Linked DNA regions of Pelodiscus sinensis. The main gene of each other region encodes a partner of the protein of the gene in region 2 in a complex. Links are inferred from orthologs where the notes say so. Each region holds a gene or a part of one and is shown on either strand. Other genes may lie near its edges.

What was found. The genes of interacting proteins can lie anywhere in the genome.
Region 1: VTI1B (region 2) and BET1L share a complex: the UniProt entries of both Homo sapiens proteins name them as parts of the SNARE complex. The link is inferred for Pelodiscus sinensis from reciprocal best matches to the Homo sapiens genes VTI1B and BET1L.

Annotation. Positions count from the first base shown.
Region 1 is NC_134714.1:124,580,605-124,588,376, forward strand, and holds the start of BET1L (BET1-like protein), read left to right. Parts: upstream 1-4,656; 5' UTR 4,657-4,796; coding exon 4,797-4,815; intron 4,816-6,701; coding exon 6,702-6,793; intron 6,794-7,578; coding exon 7,579-7,635; intron 7,636-7,772. UniProt on the Homo sapiens protein: Vesicle SNARE required for targeting and fusion of retrograde transport vesicles with the Golgi complex. Required for the integrity of the Golgi complex.
Region 2 is NC_134714.1:72,556,535-72,563,647, forward strand, and holds the start of VTI1B (vesicle transport through interaction with t-SNAREs homolog 1B), read right to left. Parts: upstream 3,042-7,113; 5' UTR 2,797-3,041; coding exon 2,682-2,796; intron 1-2,681. UniProt on the Homo sapiens protein: V-SNARE that mediates vesicle transport pathways through interactions with t-SNAREs on the target membrane. These interactions are proposed to mediate aspects of the specificity of vesicle trafficking and to promote fusion of the lipid bilayers.

The DNA of each region.
Region 1 (7,772 bases), about 52 Mb from region 2:
CTCCCTCTCTTTACTTTCCAATGTTTAATAAACACCCTCCCACCAACGCACTTAGGAAACCCCCCTCCCTTCCTCAGTGGGAAGATTAACACAGAACAGATAACTGCAGCTCCCTGCAGCCCTCCCCTTCCACCCACTGTCCTGATTTCTGTTCCTGCACAGCAAAAACCCAGAAATTTCTTTGTGGAATAAAAGAGATGCACAAGAGAGCAAGACAGACAGACAAGCCCCATGCAGGCTGGGTTAAGGTGGAGCTGTCCTTTAAGGTGGCACGAAGAAGTCCGTCAACTGAAAGCACTTTAATTTTGTTTTGTTTGTTTACGAAAGAATCTAGCACTCTGAGGCATCTGTGTAGGTCTGTAACTGGGGAAGATGAATATGCCAAATGCATTATAAAAATGCCTGGCTTGATGGATAAAAGGCCACTGTTGTCCAACATAGGGGCAGCGGGCTTCTATCATTCCTGACACGAATGTGTTTTACAATTATAGTAAATAATTAGATGTGCATTTATATGCCAATAATACTCATAGATTCTTTGGGGCTAGGCATTTGGCTGGTTGTAAAGCACTTTGTTGACGGACAGCGCTGAGAGAGATTGTTAATATACTACACTATTGAATATGATTCCATAAGGCTGTGTAGGGTAATATTTTCTATAGCTAGATTTCAATTCTGCACTAAATATTGAGGGTGTAAATCCCCCAATAAAGCCAAGGTCTTGAGACAAGTCCCATACACCTCTCTCCCCACCCCAATTCAGAAGCTCCACCTGAAACTCATTGCGTGGTGGGCACCAATTCTATGGCACTGTCACAATAAAGTTTAAGGGTGCCTACTGGCTGCCCAGCATGATGCTCCCCCTGAAGTTTGCAAGCTACTAGGACGGCTGAGGAAGACAGAGAGGAACACAGCTCTCAAAACCACAATAAAACCCCAAACTCCTCAAAAGAGATCCCATGGAAATGTAGACATTAAAGCTGAAAAAGGCAGCTCATCTCTAATCCACCCCCTTTGGGCCAATACAGGATTGTTCACGACAATGTACTTTCCTTCCAACTCCAAGCTTCTAGCACTTCCCATGGGACTAGAACACTTCTCTCAAACCTCGCTATTTGGATTTTGTTCCTGTTTTTCATCTTGCATTTTTCTGTTTAACTCATGAGAAGTTCTCCCCACCCAATACCAGTCTCTTTTTGATGCCCACATCCACCAAAAATGTATAGATGCTGGTCTTTGTGCTGCTCCCTCTAGTTCCAATTCTGCACCAATTACACCTGAACTTAACTTTAGTTCTGTGAGCAGTCCTTTCAAATCAACTGGACTCCTAAAAATTCTGCATGGGGGTAATGCCTTTGCAGGTTCAGGGCCTGTAGTCATACACATTTCTGTCTTTTCATCTTTCATAGTAAATCAGTCTTTACAGAAATCCTCATCAATTTGGAAGGACAGGATGGGACAAATGATAACTAATTTGCTAAAAGTAGAGACCGTACCTCTTCAATACTGAGGGATGGTCACAGAAGCAAAATGTCCTGAAACAATTAACAATAACTATTATAACAGTTTTCAGAGGGGTAGCCCTGTTAGTCTGTAATTTAAAAAAACAACAGCAGTTCTGTGGCCCCTAAGAGACTAACAAATAGATTATACCATGGCAATAATTATCAGATTAGCTTTATTTTAAACGATAAAACGTTGCTAAACTGGTTAAAACAGCTCTACCTTCCAGAGTAAAGAAAAGGAGTGTAAACAAATAGTAGGAGCTAATAGATGTTACATAGAAAATATAATAAGCACATTACCTTTACTTTAGTTTTCCTTGCTTAGGTTTCTTGCTTTATTTCCTGAACACTGCAGCTTGTCTCTCCCCCATCTCTCCAATGTAAGCGATTTGTGCAGGCAGCTGCTTTGTTTAAAAAAAGCTGGATTTTGCAAGCTCGAACGCTGGCCGGCCGGCTCAGGGTGGAATGTGATAGCATTTACCCTGTCGGGATGCTGTTCCCAGGGTTCAGGGATGGGGCACCAACTGGGGAAGGTCTTAATCTCTCTTCCCGCCTCCCCACTGTCCAAGGGTGGAGGGAAAGAGTCTATGTAACTCATACGGAAGTTAGGACCGTGCTGACATCCGACAACCGATTCAGAATGGGGGTGGGGATTGCAACAGGTCGGAGAGAGAAGACGATACAGTAGTACAGACAAAAGAAACGCTGTATTACTGGAGGTTTGGAAATCGGGGGAGGGGCAGAGATAGCTTCCTGCGATCAGCCATAAGAATTTTCAACAACGGATGCAATATGGAAATATTTTAGGTGCTGATCATCCACCCTTCTCTGGCAGGATTAATGACAAAGAAAAATCGTCTCCTCTCCATTGTCTGGTGGGAGTCAGATGAAAGAAATTCTTAGAGCAAAATAATTAAGCGGGGCTGGGCAAACCTGTTCTTTGACTATGTTTTTCTCCTATTGTTTTTTTAAAATATTTCATTGAATTTTGTGTAATATTTAAGCTGTTAAGTATAAAATAGCAAACATAGAAATAAGAAGGAATGTGCTAAATGTCACTGCCCAATCGCTGTTTTTCGGTTCCATCCCTTCTGGCTAGCTGTTCATTCTTGGTGCTCCAGTTGTGTTAATACTAGCTACCAGGCACACTACCTTCCTCCCTGAGTGGTCCTACTGATGAAGCTAACGCCTAGATCCCGCCATTTATTCCCCATTACTGGATCTTTGCATGCTTCTCAGCAGGCCCAGGTGGCTGCTCACATGGATCAAATTGCAGGCTCAAGGGCTAAATAAATAATATGTTGTTGTGTGAAACAGACACAGGAAGTTTAGGCCAGGATGTTAACTTTATTAAAATAAGCTACAGAAATGCTTTCCGTTTAATTGAAACCTTATTTGTAATGCAAACATTAGGGCTCTCAAGTGATTAAATGTTTAATCGTGATTAATCACACTGTTAAATAATTTAATGTTATTTATTTAAATATGTTGATGTTTTTCTACAAATATATTGATTTCACTTTCAACACATCAGAGTACAGGGCTGGCTTTAAGTGTGATTACAAATATTTGTGCTGTTAAAAATAGTATTTTTTAATTCACCTCATACAAGTGCTGAAATGCAATCTCTATCATGAAAGTTGAACTCAAGGTAGAATTATGTATAAAAATAACTGTGTTCAGAAATAAAACAATGTAAAATCTTTTCCTCTCCCATTGTCCGGAGAAAGTCAGATGAAAGAAATCCCTAAAGCAAAACAATCAAGTGGGGCTGGGCAAACCTATTCTTTGACTATGATTTTATCCTATTAGCTTTTTAAAAAATATTTCATTTAATATTGTGTAATATTTAAGCTATTAAGTATAAAATAGCAAACATGAAGATAACAAGGTATGTGCTAAATGTCAATGTTCAATTGCTGTTTTTCTTTTCCATCCCATCTTGCTAGTTGTCCATTCTTGGTGCTCCAGTTATGTTAATAGTAACTACCAGGCATAAGAGTCTACAAGTTCACTCAGTCCTATTTCTTGTCCAGCCAATCACTCAACAAGTTTGTTTACATTTGCAAGAGAACTGCTGCCCATTTCTTGTTCACAGGATCTGCTTGATAATGATACGAAACAGTGTAGACTGATGCATATTCATTTTCTTCATCTGAATCAGATGTCAATAGCAGAAGGTTGATTTTTTTTGGTGGTGGTTGGATTCTGCCATTTCTGCATTGGTATGTTGCACTTTTAAGACTTCTGAAAGCATGCACCACACTTTAGTCCACTCAGATTTTGGAAAGCACTTCAGACTCTTAAACCTTGGAGTGTTGTAGCTCTCTTTAGAAATCTCACATTGGTGCCTTCTTCCTGTTTTGTCAAATCTGTAGTGAAAATGTTCTTAAAACAAACGACATGTGCTGGGCTATTTTTACAATGCAAATATTTATAATAAAATAATATAAAGTGAGCACTATACAGCCTGTGTTGTGTGGTAATTGAAATCAGTGTATTTGAAAAGGTAAGAAAACATCCACAAATATTTAATACATGTCCAGTGAGATAAGAATGAAAAAAAGAATGGCCATACTGGGTCAGACTTAAGGTCCAACTAGCCCAGTATCCCGCCTTCCCACAGCAGCCAATGCCAGGTGCTCCGGAGGGGGTGACCAGACCAGGGAATCATCAATGTATCCCTCTCCTGTCATCCATTTCCAGCCGCTGATAATAATTTATAGATTAACCTCCATGAATGTATCAGGTTTTTTTTAACCCTGTTAAAGTCCAGGCCTTCACGACATCCTTCTGCAAGGAGTTCCACAGGTTCACTGCGTGCTGTCAAGTGGTGATTAAGCAGGATGATTTTAATCCATTGAGTTAATTAGGAGAGTTAACACTGCCATTCATTAGCAACCCTAATAAACCTCCCCATGTTTTCCCTCCGACGTTAGGAGCCCGGACAAAAGCCCATTGCACTCAGGTTGAAAAGGGAGCCCGTGGGGTGGCCCCGTGTGAACGCAAAGCCCAAAGAAACGGGACAGCCGGGCGGGGTGTGGGCGGGCTGCAGCCCCTGCGGTGGGTGTGGCGCACGCGCACGGCTGCTCGGACAGCAGGGCCCGGCCTCGTTCTCGCCCGGCGCCTCTAGCGCGCGGGGCTGAGCCCAGCCCCCGGTCTCCGCCCCAGCAGCTGGGGGCAGTGGAGGCCCCGCCCCGCGAGGCGGAGTCACTGCGCCCCTCCCCCCCCCTTCCCGGTCCTCCTCCTCCTCCCGGAGCCGCCGGCCGGACGCGCAGGCAGGACGCGGCCATGGCGGACTGGGGCCGAGGTGAGCCCGGCCGGGCGCCGCGCGCGGTCCCGCTGCAACGGGAGCCCCGGGCCCCGCCACCGCCCTCGCGCCGGGCCCGGGGAGAAGGAACAGCGGGGCGGGGCCAGGCAGGGGCTTGAGACGGGTTTGGTGACGCAGGGGGAGGGGGGCAGAGATCAGGGGGGCTGGTGGGGAGCTGTGGGGCGGGGTGACTGGGATAGGGGGGGTGGCAGGGAGCTGTGGGGCGGGGAGCTGTGGGTAAGGGGGACGGGCGGGGGGTTGCGGGGCGGGGAGCTGTGGGTGGGGGGGTGGCAGGGAGCTGTGGGTAAGGGGGGCTGGCGGGGAGCTGTTGGTAGGGGGTGGCAGGGAGCTGTGGGGCGGGGTGACTGGGATAGGGGGGGTGGCAGGGAGCTGTGGGGCGGGGAGCTGTGGGTAAGGGGGACGGGCGGGGGGTTGCGGGGCGGGGAGCTGTGGGTGGGGGGGTGGCAGGGAGCTGTGGGTAAGGGGGGCTGGCGGGGAGCTGTTGGTAGGGGGTGGCAGGGAGCTGTGGGGCGGGGAGCTGTGGGTGGGGGGGGTGGCAGGGAGCTGTGGGTAAGGGGGGCTGGCAGGGGAGCTGTTGGTAGGGGGTGGCAGGGAGCTGTGGTGCGGGGAGCTGTGGGTAAGGGGGGCTGGCGGGGGGTTGCGGGGCGGGGAGCTGTGGGTAGGGGGGGTGGCAGGGAGCTGTGGGGCGGGGTGACTGGGACAGGAGGGGCTGTGGGTAGGGGGGGTGGCAGGGAGCTGTGGGGCGGGGTGACTGGGACAGGAGGGGCTGTGGGTAGGGGGGGTGGCAGGGAGCTGTGGGGCGGGGTGACTGGGACAGGAGGGGCTGTGGGTAGGGGGGGTGGCAGGGAGCTGTGGGGCGGGGTGACTGGGACAGGAGGGGCTGTGGGTAGGGGGGGTGGCAGGGAGCTGTGGGGTGGGGTGACTGGGACAGGAGGGGCTGTGGATGGGGGGGTGGCAGGGAGCTGTGGGGTGGGGAGCTGTGGGTAAGGGGGACGGGCGGGGGGTTGTGGGGCGGGGAGCTGTGGGTAGGGGGGTGGCAGGGAGCTGTGGGGCGGGAGCTGTTGGTAAGGGGGACTGGCGGGGGGGTTGCGGGGCGGGGAGCTGTGGGTAAGGGGGGCTGGCGGGGAGCTGTTGGTAGGGGGGTGGCAGGGAGCTGTGGGTAAGGGGGGCTGGCGGGGGGTTGCGGGGCTGGGAGCTGTGGGTAAGGGGGGCTGGCGGGGAGCTGTGACCGGCTAGGGTAGAATAGGGCTGTCTGTGAGGTTGGAGCAGGGTTGTGGGCAGGGAGGCTGTGGGCAGCCAGTGGTCTGGCAGTATCGGTTGATGTGTCTTGGGGGGGTGGGACTCAGTGGGACAATGAGGCATGTGGCACAAAGGAATGGGGTGCTTCTGTGATGTGGGGAGGGGCCTGTCAGTAAGATAGTGGGTTGGCAGGACAAGGCCCGGGTTGATAAATATGGAATGGGTAGTTGGTTTGGGTCTTGTCTATAGGACAGCATGCAGCATGTCAGTACAAAATAGGTGTGGATGGTTTGATTTGCTGGTAGTTTTGAATTTTGGGGGCAGGAGAATCAATGGGTATAACTCTCTGGTTAGGGAGTCACTTTAGTTTGTTGTTTAAGCATGTTGTGCATGTGAGGTTTTCTAAATAGTAATTTTGTAGAACAAATTTAAAATTAACAAATCCACCTCCGAGAATGTTAACTTTCAGTTTGTGCAGATGTAGGTATAGAAAAGTTAAGTAACTTGTCCAAGGTATCTCAGCGGTAGAATTGAAAATAGAAATCAGAAATCCTGACTCCATTCCACCATTTTAACCAGTAAATACACTGCCACTTGTTGTATTATAACTGATAGAACTTTTGTAGGTAAGAGTCCGAGTGCTGTGGATGATATGCTAGATGTGGAGAACAAGCATATGGCAGACAATCTAGCCACCAAGGTCACCAGGCTGAAATCGGTTAGTTACTAACTACACCTCATTCTTTTTTTTTTACCGTCTTACATCATGGATGTTGAAAACATGTATTCGGTTACACGGGTCTGTCTTATTTATTCAGCTGTTCAGACGTTTTATGTACCACACTGTCTATGACAGGTCAGGTAACTAAATTTTGCTGTTAGAACATCCTGGAGAACTTTATTGAAATCCTCATTCCTTGTTTGGGATTTAGACAAGTTTGTACCTTTATAATATGGTTATTTTTTGTGGCATCCAGAGAAGGAATTAGGTTTGGTAAATAAATGGGTAGAGGGATTAGGGGCAAGAATATGCAAAGATATAGTCCTAAGGATGCCATCTGAGGAAGGTCTCAATAAAACCATATTAAAATATTCATGACAAATGTGTGTGCTCTGTTCCCTCAGTGCTCTGTTCTCTCAGGATAATATTCCTGAGACTAAACTAGTTCCATTGGCTTGAAAAAACATTAGCTTTCATTTCTTAATGCAGAGACTACAGTGTTAACAGCGTACTGGAATCTTTTTCATTTTCCCCAGTATTTGCAAGGTCACTTCATATACAAAAGTTTGAACTTCTGACACTAGAGATCTTAGGAATGTCTATTGCAACTAATACCATGTATTTGACATTCCATTTTTTTCATTTGACTGAACACACACATTGTGTGCATATGTGTGGGAGATGGGTAGGAGTGTTTGTGTGCTTGAATTTCACCAGCTTTCAGTGTGTTAGTTAATTATTTCACTTGGAGACTCTGACACTTGCTTTCCTCTCTTGAGTAGCTGGCACTGGACATTGACAAAGATGCTGAGGAACAAAACCGCTATCTGGATAGCACGGTAAGCAGCTGATAGAAGTCTGTAAGCGATGAAAACTTCTCGGCTGAATCTCAAGATTTGGGGTAATTGTTTGAGTTTCATGGCAGCCCAGTAAACAGCACCACAATATTTTGTAGCAATTAGGTTTGGCAGTGGTC
Region 2 (7,113 bases):
GGGACCTTCCTCAAGTCCCACAAAATTTCTTGCAAATTATTTTTGAAATCATTCTTGGGGATTTTCCTGGTTTGAGCAATGATTTATAGCATTTACAACTGAAAATTATCCTTAATAAGAATTTCAAAAATTGCTTGGCAACAATTAAACTGATTAGCCTTAATAGCAGCAACTCATTTCTTCAGACCCTCCCTCAGTTTTTCATGCAACTTTAATGACACTATTTTACTGACAAACTTCCATGACCACTATTCATAAAATTACCTTTTAAAATTGCACTATACAGTTAAATCAGCTTCCTGCTTACTGTTCTGTTCTAATTTTGAACGTGGGATAGTGTTCTATTTAAGTGCTTTCTTTGTTCCCCTCACTTTGGTATCAGAGTGCCTCCCAAAATTATAAAGTGATGAGTCATTTCTCACTCTTCCATACAGCAAAGCAGCAAAAGATAGATTTATAGGGGTTTTGGGAGGGAAGGCTAGATTGTAAGTAACTTGAGTTTTGCAGTCAGTTTCAATATCAAGCAAGTCCATATTTGTGATCCATTCTTGATGATAATAATATACTGTGTCCAGTAGAATATTGCCATTTTGGAAGGTCATCATCATACTACATGAAGTAATTCTTGGGACAATTTTATGGAGAATTTCAAAGAAGAGAACACAGACTTTGAGTTCAACTCAGTATTTAATGGGGAGCCACTTGTCAGTTGAACACTGCAGTGTTGTGTTCTCAACAGCCTAGGAGACTGAGCATAGGAGCTACTGGATTCTAAACAACAAAGTTTTTATGAGTTTGATGCTTACATATTAAGTACAGAGAATTACTATAATTAATCCTGGTGGTCACATGACTAACAAGTGCCAAAGAACAAGGAATATTTTGCCTTATTCACTCTTCTGGCAAAGAATAGATATCAGCTGAGTAGACTTCGGTGTCACACTTCTGAAAAGAAAGGGAGCTTCCTGATTGTGAGGAAATTCATTTATATTGCTAACATTCCTTTGTCAGGTCACTTCCCTTTTCCCCCCAATATAACCAGCATTCACCAGATGAATTAAAAGGCCACCATCAACTTTTAGAGAGATTCTTCCATTAGAAATCATTTCACCTACTTACCAGTATCTGCTAGCTAGATCAAACAGTAAAACTCAAAAATTAGAAAAAAAAGCTCATTTTTCCAGGATTACTTTTTACATTTAACAGCAGCACAGTGTTTCACTTTAGAAATCTTCTGTAGATTATGTGGTCTCCCACAGCAACAGGAAAGAGGAAATCATTTAAAAATAAGAAAACGTAGCAGTAAAACTACAAAAATTGCCTAGAAGACTTAGAAACTGCTTTTAACTCTTCATTATTAATTCAGTTGACTAGATAGTGGCCTTTAAGCTAGGGATATAAATTTATGTTTAATTAATTAATTAACTGGTTAAATGTTATGTTTAACCCAGTTGTTCCCAACCTGTTGTCAGCAGACCCCTGGTGGTCTGCAACAGTACTGTAGGGGGGTCTGCAGAAAGTTTAAAGTAGAAATTAAAATAAATGTACAGAGCCTACTGCAGCCAGCATGTCCTTCAGCCTGCATTGCTTCCCGAGCGGGCTGAGGGATGCGGCTCAGAAAGCAGCTTGGGCTAAGGGACGTGCAGGCTGCAGGCACAGCTATATTGTTTAGGGAGTCCATAACATTTCAATAGATTGATGCTTACTAATTAACTATTCACATCCCTACTTTAAGCAAGATTCTAGTGTTTCAGAAGGGAATGGGCCTGGGATCATCGGTTAACCTTCACAGTTACATGCAGCTCCTTTCCCCTCCCCCCAACTGCTGGCAGATGGGAGCTAGTGCAAACAGGGAGACACCTGCCCCCACTCTGCTGCCTCAGATACAAGGCAGCAGTGGGGGCGGGGAAGGAGCTGCCTCCCACCTTGCATGTAAATGTGTAATTGCTGAAAATTTCAGCAATTACACATTTACCTAAATAAATGCATTTTAACAGCCCTACATTGCATATGTTTCATGTTTGTGCTGACACTTAAGCCAAAGGCCCAAAGTATACAAGAATTTACATAACGTAAGTGCAGTGATGTCAGTGGGACTACCTTATGGACAGGATGGTCCCCCATACTCAGATTAGCCTGCAGGGCCCTGGATGGGCTACAGCTGGCAGCAGCAGTATTCCCCCCCCTCCCCCCCCGCCATTCACCTCAGGAGTGGGAGTCGTAGTAAAGCAAAGCTACATAGTAGCCAGCCTTCATTGGGGCTGGGGAACTCCTTTTTGCTGCCTCCAAGGTGAAGCGGAGAGGTGGTGGCGGGCAGAGCAGAGAGCTGTGCTGCTCTGCCGCGGTGAGTGTGGGGAGGCGATGGCTGCTGCCATCACATACCAGCTCTACTGGAAATCACCAGGGCTGCGTCCTTTGGGGGAAGAGGCTTGAGGGAGAGGGTGCGATGGGGGACTCACGGAGCAGCACAGATTATGGAACTACTCGGGCCACAAATGGCTCCCGGGCAGAGTCTGAGACGCCTGATCTTAAGGGTCAGACCTCAATTTGCACGTCCCGTTCAGTTCTTGGCCTCTAATAAGGATGCCAATGACCCTGCGCCGCCCCCCCGCCAGACAGACTCGGGGGGGGGGGGTCTCCCGCTCCTAAGCAATAACGGCCGCGCGCGCGCGCTCCCTCACCGGCCGCGCTCCCCCGCAGTCTCTCCGGGGCGCCTCGCAGCTGCTTGTGCAGCCCCCCGAAGATCTCGTGCAGCCGCTCGAAATGCTCGGAGGAGCCGGAGCCCCGACCCGCCATGGCGGCAGCTGCTGTCGTGTCCCGGCCCTCTCGCCTGCTACTAGGGGTCCGGGCTCATCGCCCCCTCCTCACAGGCACTTCCGGGACGCGAGTCGGGGCCTCCCCATCCCAGTGCCTCGTCCCGCCCAGGGGGTTGCCCACATGGCGCCTGATGATCAGTCGCTCGGCACCGCGGGCAGCGGCCCTCTGGCCACGAGGTTCTCGCCTTGCTAGAGCCACATGTGGAGCCCGAATCTCCGCTCGCCAATGGGGCTAGCGCCGTTCTACGGAGCAGGCATAGTCGCTGCCACCCCAAAGGGGAGGCGCCATCCTCCGAGCCGCGCACGGCATGCCGGGAAGTGTAGTCTCTGGGATTGCTCCCATCCAGTAAGATTGCCCCTTGGACGCCGATAGCTGCCGGATGCGTTCAGTCTGGCAGCGCCTGCGCGTGAGGGCGCTCTCGCCAGCGGCGCCGCTGTGGGCCCGGGCACACGCCTCAGGCAGTGCAGGGCAGCTGTGGGGAGGGTCACATGGGAGCGCGGGGATTTTCGGGTGGGTCCCTCCTCCCAATTTAAGTTTGCAAACCCGACCGTGCCAGTGAAGCGTCCTCTCGCCGCGCGCTGCTGCTAGGGATGTCAGCCGTTAACGGGCAGCCGAGCTCGGCTGGAGCAGCCAGCCCCCTTCCCCCATCCCGTTAAGGCGGTTCACTGATTACATGGGATTTCAGATCCCTAGCTGCTACCACTGATCCTGGGGGCTTCTGTCACAGGCGCTAGAGCAGGGTGCCTGTGGGACCGGCCATTGACGGGAGAGGGAGCTGTCCTCCCCCCTTGCCTTGCCTAGGGGCCTGGTGAGCCCGTTGGCTCCTGTGCTGTGGGGTATAGGAAGGGCCACCTCGAGGCCGGGATGAGAGGGGGCATGTGTGGGCACCCCATTTAGCAATTAAAATGTTGGCTGGGGCATAGAGGTTCAAGTGCTACCACAAGTCACTTATGACTCCATCCCTTTGTGCAGGCAAGGGAGGGAAAATGTACAAGAGTACTGCCCTACAAGTACATCCAAGAGCAAAATGTGCACACACCAGCAGCCACGGAGAAACCCAATATGTTGAGTTTGTTATGTTGTGTCATCCAAAGCAGTAGTAGCTTTGTATGTATATGAACCTAATTCAGGTGCTGGCTTGGCAGATCTGGATACTGAATTCTCCTGTCCACGGAGCAGACAGATACAGTACATAGATTATTTATTTATTTATTTAGTATGTGCATAGTCTTCTAAGCCAAGCAATGGCATCTTCAGTGGCATGATGCTGTTCTTCTACATCACCACTGAACCTAGCCACCAGGCATTCAAAGACAACATGTTTCATTGTCTGTGTTATGCTGCAGCTGCTCAAAGGACTTTTCCGAAGGCCACAGTGATAATGATTGGCTGCACAGAGACCTTGCTCAGTCCGGAACCTATTCAATAGGGATCACTGACAATGGGGCAGTCAAAACCAGGCAAGCAAATTGTGGGATCAGCGACGAAGGACTGGTTAGAAATTATAAAGTATCCATTGCTCTCGCCAGTGCCTTGTATTTGGTGGTGGAGTACTGTACACCATTATGGAGTCAATCGTCACACACCAAATAGGTGGATATGCAGTTATATGCCACCATGCATATCATCTCTGGCACTCTGTTCAACTCTACTCCGAGGGCTCCCAATTCTGAGCAATAATATCAGATGCGAGATTGCCACTAGCAAGATATTGGAGATAGTACACACCAACCCAAGCTTACAGCTGCACAATAACCTTTTTAAATTTCCAGCCACATACTTGCCATCACATTGCCTGTTATGGCCTCATCTGCCATGCTAGGATGTTAGAGCCAAACTTGAACAGCTTAATGGGAGTAAATCGGGGGGTCCAGATAATCTTCATCCAAGAATATTAAAGGAACTGGCACATGAACTTGCAAGTCCATTAGCAACATTTTTTAATAAATCTCTAAACTCAGGGGTTGTACCATTTGACTGGAGAATTGCTAATATAGTTCCTATTTTTAAGAAAGGGAAAAAAAGCGACCCGGGCAACTATAGGCCTGTTAATTTGACATGCAAGATCTTGGAAAAAATTTTGAAGGAGAAAGTAGTTAGAGACATTGAGGCTAATAGCAATTGGGACAAATTACAACATGGTTTTACAAAAGGTAGATCGTGCCAAACCAATCTGATCTCCTTCTTTGAGAAAGTAACAGATTTTTTAGATAAAGGAAATGCAGTGGATCTAATCTACCTCGACTTTAATAAGGCATTTGATACAGTACCACATGGGGAATTATTGGTTAAATTGGAAAAGATAGGGATTAATATGAAAGTTGAGAGGTGGATAAGCAACTGGTTAAAGGGGAGACTACAGTGGGTCATACTGAAAGGTGAACTGTCAGGTTGGAGGAAGGTTACTAGCGGAGTTCCTCAGGGATCAGTTTTGGGGCCAATTTTATTTAATCTTTTTATTGCTGACCTTGGCACCAAAAGTGGAAGTCTCCTGATAAAATTTGCAGATGACACAAAGTTGGGAGCTACTGCCAATTCAGAAAAGGATCGGGATATCATACAGGAAGATCTGGATGATCTTGTAAATTGGAATGATAGCAATAGGATGAAATTTGATAGTGAGAAGTGTACGGTTATGCATTTAGGGATTAATAACAAGAATTTTAGTTATAAGCTGGGGACACATCAGTTGGAAGTAACGGAGGAGGAGAAGGACCTCAGAGTCCTGGTTGATTATAGGATGACTATGAGCTGCCATTGTGACATGGCCATGAAAAAGGCTAATACGGTCTTGGGATGTATTAGGCGAGGTATTTCCAGTAGGGATAAGGAGGTGTTAGTGCCATTATACAAGGCATTGGTGAGACCCCATTTGGAATACTGTGTGCAATTCTGGTCTCCCATGTTTAAGAAGGATGAATTCAAACTGGAACAGGTACAAAGAAGGGCCACTAGGATGATCCGAGGGATGGAAAACCTGTCTTATGAAAGGAGACTCACGGAGCTTGGCTTGTTTACCTTAACCAAAAGAAGGCTGAAGGGGGGACATGATTGCACTCTTTAAATATATTAGAGGGATAAATACCAGGGAGGGAGAGGAATTATTTAAGCTTAATACCAATGTGGATACAAGAACAAATGTACAGGCAGTCCCCGGGTTACGTACAAGATAGGGACTATAGGTTTGTTCTTAAGTTGAATTTCTATGTAAGTCGGAACTGGCCCCAGATTCAGCCGCTGCTGCCGAAACTGACCAGGGGCTAACTACAGGAAGCTGGAGGCAGAATTGCTCTGCCCCCAGCTTCCTGGAATCAGCCACTGATCAGTTTCAACAGCGGCTGAATCTCGAGCCTGGGACAGAACAGCTGGGCTGCCAGGTAGGTCCCTGCAGGACCAACCCGGCAGCACCCCAGCTGCTCTACCCCAGGGTCCACAACAAAAGCCTGGTCTGCTGGGGGGGGCGCACTAGCTGCGCCCCCCCCAGCAGACCAGGGACACAGGGAGCAAAGCCGCAGTGGTGGCGGGGTGCCGCGCCTCTGAGGCTTTGCTCTGGCAAAGCCTCAGAGGCGCGGGACCCCGCCGCCGCCGCGGCTTTGCTCCCGGTGTCCCTGGTCTGCTGGAGACAGTCCCCAGCAGACCAGGGACACCCGGAGCAAAGCTGGGGAGGCGCGGGACTCCGCCGCCACTGCGGCTTTGCTCCCGGTGTCCCTGGTCTGCTGGAGACGGTCCCCAGCAGACCAGAGGCACCCGGAGCAGCTTTTCTCGCCCCGGAGGTCGAGGTGGCAGGACCGCTGTGCTCTGGGCGGTCCCGCTGCCTGCGAGCTCCGGGGCGAGAAAGCCCCGTTCGTAAGTGCAGAAAGTCGGATCCGCGTAACTCGGGGACTGCCTGTATATAAGCTGGCTAGTAGGAAGTTTAGATTTGAGATTAGACGAAGGTTTCTAACCATTAGAGGAGTGAGGTTCTGGAACGGCCTTCCAAGGGAAGTAGTGGGGGCAAAAGATCTATCTGGTTTCAAGATTAAACTAGATGGGTTTATGAAGGGGATGGTTTGATGAGATAACATGATCTTGGTAACTAATTGACCATTCATTATCAGTAGGAAATAGGTCAATGGAGGGATGATAGGAGTTACTACTATAGAGAACTTTCTGGGTGTCTGGCTGGTGAGTCTTGCCCACATGCTCAGGGTTTAGCTGATCACCATATTTGGGGCCGGGAAGGAATTTTCCTCCAGGGTAGATTGGCAGAGACCCTGGAGGTTTTTCGCCTTCCTCTGTAGCATGGGGTACAGATCA